Linked DNA regions of Oryzias latipes. The protein of the gene in region 1 purifies or fractionates together with the protein of each later gene. This does not show direct contact. Links are inferred from orthologs where the notes say so. Each region holds a gene or a part of one and is shown on either strand. Other genes may lie near its edges.

Region 1 (3,329 bases):
TTTGCTGCGTTACGTCTAGAAAGCTCTTTTGGTGCGCTCCGTGAGGGCCCCTGATCCCTCACAGATAAGACTATGCAGCTCCCACGGCAGTCCCCCTCTTCTCTGATGACAAGGACAGGAACAAAAACAAAAACAGGGAGCCCGCCCCGCTTTGTGGTCCACACGCCAAGCGCATATCAAGCTCATCTCCAAGTTCCATCTGATGCCAGCCAGAAATGTGTTATTTTGACCGCTGTGTGTTTAAGTGAGTGTGTCAAGGGAGAGTGACTCTGGACAGCTGGCTGAGCCTCAATCTGATACACTCAGAACATTATCAGTGGGTGGCGGCAGGCAGCGCCAGCGATACGTGTGGGAGATGCATCCATCTCAGTCGCAGCCAGAGGAGACCTCAGCGCAGTCAAAGAGTGGGGAGCCAGTTACACTATACCTGAGAACGGAGGGGGGGGGGGCTATACGCCGGCAACAACACACCCAAACACAGCAACAAGGAGGATCAGATGCAGCGGAGCATGCACAGGAGAAGCCGCGGTGTACATTCGGGCAAAGGCCTCACATTCCACATAAACGCAGCGAGAAAATCAAACGTACACTTTGTTTTCTTTAAAAGAAATTGAGTTTTATTGTGTATCTGGCAGTCAGAAGTGATGACACAATCTCCTCAAGTCCAATAAGTCTCATTTTACTCATTTGCAGAGATCCTTTCTATAGACTGTACCTCCTGATTAAGAGAATAAAGCTGTGCAAAGAACAGCATCTTCACTTACAAATACTGTCTGGACCACATGTGGGCTTCTTTGTTTTTTGTTACAACACTGTGGTGACTGAACACAGTTGGTCCTGGCAGGGAACTTCCTGTCCATGCTCATGCACCTTTCATATACACCGCATGAAAAAATGGCTGAGCAAAGAGCCACGGAGGCGCAAGCAAAGACCTTCCCTCCATCCTGTATCAGGTACGGTCCCATGGACCATGAAACTCCCACATTGAGAGAAACACTAGAAATGAGTTTGAGTTTCTGTTTATGAATGTAGCACCAAAGTTTAGCCCATCAGCCTGACATGAACAGGAGGACTTCACCTGAAAATAATGAGTGTAGATATTCATGTTTAAAATGCTGCTTTTTTGAGTAATAATACACAGGTTTTTTAAAAGAAATTACTAATAAAAACTTCAAGACATCCTTTAGAAGTTGTCCTGTAGGTTAAGGGATTTTTTTTATTTTTTAAAGTTTGATTTCAAACTTTTCCAACAACAAAAAAATAACTTTTAGTGACAAACTTCGGTCCTAACTTTACAGATTTACTTTAATCTCCAGAGTATAAATATTTATGATTAAGAGCTGATGAAAAGAATTGGTTTTTGCTGTGCTGCCACCTGCCTGTCAGTTTACTAAAAATACAAAAACACACACGCCTTTAAAAATCCTTACAAAAAAAAACGATTTTGTAGAAAATAAAGCCACAAAAATAGATTTGTGTAAAAACAAAAAAGCTTTTTTAAAAATAGTGATTTGAGAAAGGTCTGAGTAAATGTGGGGTTTGACAGAAATCAAATACAAACCCACTAACTGGCATGAGGACAGACACACATATATATATAGAAGAGCATGATTTTACTTGTATATTGTCTAACCTGCTCGTCTTTTTTCTCCCAATACTTTCACGTGAACGCCTGTCTCTGGAAGAGGCGGGTCACGGTTGGTCTCTTGTAACAGGGAATGTGTGGCAGTAGGGGGCATTCTCTGAGCTGCCGTGACGGCCGTGCTTGGGAGGCTGCACAAAACCGTCAACCTAAAGTGCGCTTTTTGCATGTCAACACTGGGGCTGGTACTTGGGGAAGAGGTAAAGGTCTTTGCAAAGTGAGCTGGTGAACTCTGACATCTCCTTGCAGCGATGGTGGGCTGTGCCGGGAGCGTAACCCTCCCTCTCCTTAATACGTTTGTTGACCTAAAAAAGCAAGTTTGACATGATTAGAAAAGCCTTTGATGGGACTATAGCAAATAAATTCATTTTTAAAAAGTACATCTGTCACCTGCACGAGGATGTCAGCGAGGTGGGTGTCTCTGGCATTGAGGCGGAGTGCTGTATTCAGTTCCTGGATGAACCAAGATCCTTTCTTGGTGTTTCGCATGGCTGCTGTGCCTAAAAAAGAATATTTAAAGGTTATAAAGACCAATGGAAATCATGTTTTTGGTGCTGTTAACATGTTCTTGTTGCGTTTTTCTCATGATGGAGGACATACATAAAGAAAAGTTAAAAATAATATTATTGTGGATCAGGGGCAGACGAAAAAACTACGTTTGAAAAGCAGCAAAGTTGTGACGTAGAAAATACTCTGGGCAGGCCACAAGTCACAAGCTCCCTGCTCCGCTCCATTCTGATGGATCCACTTGCAGACAAACAGATCCATGTACGTCTTTTTTTTCCTTCTTCAAGCTGGCATCTGGCTCAAAACTGTACGGCTGGATAGCTCCAATATTGCTCACCATTTTCGTTGGAACATTAATGTTAGGTTAAAAGGGTGAGAGGCTGTGACCAGGCAGGTGAGCATGTAAATATAGAACTCTCACAAACGGGAAGGGGAAGGGAGACCGGGGTTGCTCCACGCCAGCAGTCCCGCCCACAACTCAGAGGTGAATTTCTAATAAACTACTGCCGCTCTGCAGAAACTATGTCCTGGGAAAAGTGTTTTTGATTTTGGCTAAAAATGACATTTATAATGAGTGGGACTTTAAACAAGCAGAAAAGGACAAAGATGTTTCAGTGAAGAATGGAAAAAGATTAGATCGCCCACTTGTTTATGCCATGCCTAGAAGACTTGGCGCTGTCCTTAAACATACCGGTGCTCATACAAATTACTGGATGTAGTAGTTTTTGTTCCAGGGTGTATTCATTTTTGCTTCAACCAATTTAAGCAAAACTGAAGATTATGTGATCTAAGATAGATCATTAACCTTTATTTCATGTAATAGAATTAAAGAAGTGTTCAATAAAACTATAACTTGTGGAAAGTTTGGAAATTTTTCTTTTGTTCATTGAGTTACTGATTAAATTAATACTTATTAAAGTGGGTGTAGTCATTTATGCTGAGCACTTTAAATTTCACTTTTTACCTTATTTTCCCAAGTTTGAAACCAACCAAAATAAACTTAAAACATTCTCAGACTACATAGATTGAAAAAATAAGACAATCTCAATAATTAGAAACAGCTTTTTTTCACGTTGAAGAAATGTTTGTAAAAAGATTTCCTCTTTAGGACATGTCGACATAGAAATCTATTCTTTCCTGGCTCCTTTTTCAGTTATAAAAAGATCACACAATCATGTTC
Region 2 (4,590 bases), on another chromosome or scaffold:
GAGGCACATTTTAGAAGTACCTAAACCTTAATGTCAGACTGCACTGCAATAAAAGAGCTGGAGAAATGCTTTTTTCAATCAAAAACTGTTTTGAACGAGAGGTAACTTTCATTAGATACCATACATGCTTTTCTTTTTTTCATTCATCTTCTTGACCCATTTTATCCCTTTCAGGGTCATGGGGCTGCCCTGACCCCCACCACTCGTGGGTGAAGGAAGGGGACATCCTGGACAGGTCGCCAGTCTGTCGCAGGACTACAAATCACACACACCCATGCACACTCACATTCACAACTAGGGACCATTTAGAGTAACCCATAAACCTTTGAAGCATGTTTTTGAAAAGAGTCCCCAGAGAAAACCCACACATGCACAGGGAGACCAAGCATACTCCACACAGAAAGGACTTGACGACGACAAGGGCGCTAACCACTGATCCACCGTGCAGCCAAATACATGCTTGTCACTGGTAAAAGGCAGCAAATGTGTTTTCTTTTCAAATAATCATATGCATATTGCTCATTTCATTAATTTTAAATGAATATATCTAATTATCTTAAATTTACAGATTTAAACTATTTTTGAAAATAAAGTTATATTCCGTGATGTTGACATTGCCAAAGCAGGTTTTTTTGGGGGAGGGCACTGCCAGGCGGCCGTGGTGCACCGTAGGTAGGACGGTCGACCTCTGATCAGAAGATTGCAGGTTCAATTCCCGCCATGTGTCGAAGTGTCCTTTGGTTAGACACTAAACCCCACCTTGCCTCTGGTGGAAACCTGGGGCCAGTGTTTGGCAGTAGAGTGCATGAATGGAACTTAGAGTGTAAAGCGTTTTGGGCTTTCGACTAAGGTAGAAATGCGCTTTACAAGTATAGACCATTTACCATATTTAGTTTGGGTTGAATATTGTTGTTTACATTTAATAAATACATTTAACTAAGAATATCATATTTATACCTTCAGAAATTCAACACCGTGGGGACGAAGTTCCAGTGGACGACTTAGTAGGAGGTCGTGTTCCTCCAGCCACACCCACTTCCTGTTTGGCCTCTTTTCCGCCCAGCTCAGTCTAGTAGTTGTCAGCAGGCAACGGCAGGGGAACACCAGCTCAGCCCCCCCGGGAAGAAATACATGACACCCAGCAGGAGTAACCCAAAAACTATGGAACATAGACAAATCTTTAGTATAGACACAAATGCATTACATGATCAGATGGCTCTTAATGTTACTATCCCGCTGTACCTGTGCTGATTAAATCCAAGGTGCAACTCAGGCATTTCTGTCACTGATCGACCTGTTTAAAGGAATTAAACAAATGTTCTGCTGATAAATGTGTGAAGCAGATAATTATTTGAGAAAAATCCGTGTGATTTCTTTCAATCTGTACCCAGTGTAGGAGGGAGAGGAGGAGGTGTTGGAGGTTTTCCCAAAGGATTGTCTCGTGCATCTATTTTAAGCTGAGGCAGTTTGTTTAGACACGATGGAACCATACGGAGGTGATTGCTGTATATAACAAGTTCCCTGAGAGAACAGAGAGATCCTGCAAGAGGACAGAGGAACATTATATCTTCACGTTGGTTTAGATCATTAAAAATGTTGCTCACCCTTAAACCCTTACCCATGCTCTCTGGAAGCTGCTTTAGTTTGTTGTGGGACAAGTCCAGCTTTACAAGCTCACTCAGACCACCGGTTTCTTCAGGTAGTTTTTGCAGGAGGTTGTGCGACACGTCAAGTTCCTGCAGTGTCTTCAGTTGACTTAAACTTGGAGGAAGGGACTCCAACATGTTCCCCAGGAGGGAGAGGTAGGTTAGAGAGGACAGCTGGCATATCTCAGGAGGCAACGCCGAGATGAAGTTGTGACAAAGCAGCAGTGAGGAGAGCAGAGGCAGGCTCAGCAGGCAGGGCGGCAGACAGGACAGCTGATTGAAGGAGAGGTCCAGGTGCACCAGGTGTGTGAGAGAAGACACAGATGATGGCAAAGTGGTGAGGAGGCCAGGCAGAGGCGTCCCCTTTGAGTCATACAGACGGTGTCCTTAAAGAAAATAAGGCAGGTCAGCGGAGAACGAATACAACGTTGCAGATATGTCAAATATACTTTGAAATATTACCCCGGATAGCAAGTGAGCGCAGCTCTGTCAGGTTTGACAGCACATTCAGGGCACCGTCCAGCCCGGATCTGTCCTCAGAACCAAGCCTCAGGTACTGGATGCCCCTCAGCTCGGCTGGAATGGACCCCCATAGCAATGGCAATGCACCTGCTCCCCCGGGGTACACATCCAGGGTCAGTCTCGTGTCAGTCAACACAGCCGAGAGCTCCACGGTGGAGGGCAATGGTGGACTCAGAGACAAGCCAGAAGAATGGGAGGATGAGGAGGAACATGAAAGCACCATATCGTGATGGCTGAAGGAGCAAGAGGTGGATGAAGAGTTTGATATGGATGGATCACAAGTACCCAAAAGGCTTGAGGGAGATGCACTTTTGTCATAGTTTTCTGGATCAAAAGCTCCTGCTTGGCTTTTAAGCATCAAATCACGTGACATACTGACTCCAGCCTCCTCACAATTCTCCTGAGCCCCGTTTGAAAGTGTTCCCCGCTCCCTTTGAGCTTCGGTTGGTGTACTTAACGGGTTGGCTGCCGGTGCAGCAACCTTCTCTCCATCTTCCAACTCATTCTGTTGCGTGTTTTGAGCAGCCGCCTGGACCCCACCTTCTTCTTCATCAGAACTTTGGTCTCCTTCGCCGCCTCTCTCCATCAATACAGTTCACACATTTTGACAACAGTAATAAGCCGACTGACAAGTCCTTTTCAAGTTTACATTAGTGCGTCAGATGAAAAGATGTCAAATCTGTGGCAACAAAGATAACTGGTAACCGTTACCGACATACGTTTTCAGCCAGCCACGGAATGAATGTGCCTTTTTTTTAAAGCCAACACTAGAACTACATTTTATTTCATGCTACATTCTTTCTTTTGCTTACCAACTGTCGAAAAAGTTACATAGCTAGCGAAAAACACAGCTTCCGGATGAAACAAGTGATTTTGAAGTAGAGGTATTACGTCACAGTTATAGGTTCGTTTAGATTTCCTGCGTCTACCGGTTGGCGAGGGGCGGGTGTTTGCACACGACACAAATGGCGTGGAGAGAAAGTCCCGCCCCTCTTTTTGTTCAGTGTCTAACAAAAACAAGCGTCACGGTGAAGGCACCGCCAAAGTTTCAACGCTGGGCGGGACATCATTGTCAACTTGAAAACGTGTGCGGCATTGTCTCAACACGGACACTAGATGGCGTTGTTGGTTACAAATGTTAGCTGTGTGACAATAATGTCATCACTGTTTAAAATGTGAGGCCTTGTTTTTTTTTTAAATAAAAGTTTTATTATCTAAATTAATACAAATGTCCCTCTATATATGAAACTAAATGTATATTTTGGTCTAATCATTTAAGAACCTGGTAAATAGAGTGTGTCATGTCTATTTTCTAGATAAATAAGTGTCAGTAACCATCCTTTACCTAATCTGGATAAATTATTTCTGCCCTCCTCTAACAGTAGGTTTGATCTGGTTTAAGTTATATTCAAATATCATCTGTAATTTTTTTAATCTTTTTTTTTAAATTGTACTTTGTTATCTTTGTAAGAAAAGAACACAACACAAACCAGCACAGCACAGCAGATATCTAACTAGTTAAAGGTTCACACAAAATCTAGGTTAGAATAACATGTTGAGATATTTTCTTAAAACACTTATTACTTTGAAATACAAAATGTGAGCCTCCTTTAACAAAGTATATCAGCTATTTCTCGAGGTGATCCAGATAAGGCTGCCACGTCTTGTAGAAAAATGTCGGAGTTACCCTTTAACCGGGCACTGAGTCGTTCCATCGGACAAACTTTCCATTGAGTAACGGATGGAGGTTTCACTTGTATCCATTGTAGCAGTATACATCTCCTAGGCAGGTGTAAAGGTTTTTGGATCAACCTCATACTTCCAGGTAACACAGGCAACCTTCCTGACTGGCCTAAAAGAAACAAAGTAGGGTCCAGGGCAAAAGATTTACGAAAAAATTGAGCGGATCCCTGTAGCAACAGTTTGCCAAAATCTGGAGATCAACTGACACTGCCAAACACAGTGATAGCAAGTTCCTACAGTGTTTTTACACTTTATACAGAGAGATGAGCGTTGTGGTTGAATCCTAAAACCTGTGGAGTATATTGGGTCTTGTGTAAAATTCAGTATTGGTTTTCCCTGAGTTTGTTACATGTAAATGTTTTTTTTGTACACACAAAAGCATTTGACCAAGTTTCAACATCAAGTTCAATCCCCAAATCTGCCTCCCAACGATACCCAGATTTCTCACTTGTGAGAGGGTTCGATGCCATAGCAGAGCAGAGAGAAAGGAATTTCTTCTTGGAGGAGGCATTTTTATTCAAGTTGAGAAGAAAGAATTCTACTGGGTGTAGGATTGGTTGGTTACCTGGGAAAGAAAGAGAGGTCCGAACAAAGTTCTGGAGAAAACCTAAAAAATCTTGGTGTGATATTCTAAATATATCTTGAATTTGTCCAAAAGACAGAAAATCACCTTTTTCTA

The links. Proteins that work in one complex are often made in the same cells at the same time.
Region 2: the proteins of casp2 (region 1) and p53-induced death domain-containing protein 1 purify together in Homo sapiens (affinity purification with western blotting; 5 studies listed by BioGRID and IntAct, with this or other methods). This does not show direct contact. The link is inferred for Oryzias latipes from reciprocal best matches to the Homo sapiens genes CASP2 and PIDD1.

The regions. Positions count from the first base shown.
Region 1 is NC_019874.2:20,114,552-20,117,880, reverse strand, and holds the end of casp2 (caspase-2), read right to left. Parts: intron 2,143-3,329; coding exon 2,033-2,142; intron 1,948-2,032; coding exon 1,813-1,947; 3' UTR 595-1,812; downstream 1-594. UniProt on the Homo sapiens protein: Is a regulator of the cascade of caspases responsible for apoptosis execution. Might function by either activating some proteins required for cell death or inactivating proteins necessary for cell survival.
Region 2 is NC_019864.2:15,844,424-15,849,013, reverse strand, and holds the start of p53-induced death domain-containing protein 1, read right to left. Parts: upstream 3,257-4,590; 5' UTR 2,755-3,256; coding exon 2,109-2,754; intron 2,033-2,108; coding exon 1,619-2,032; intron 1,541-1,618; coding exon 1,388-1,540; intron 1,295-1,387; coding exon 1,243-1,294; intron 1,160-1,242; coding exon 958-1,159; intron 1-957. UniProt on the Homo sapiens protein: Component of the DNA damage/stress response pathway that functions downstream of p53/TP53 and can either promote cell survival or apoptosis.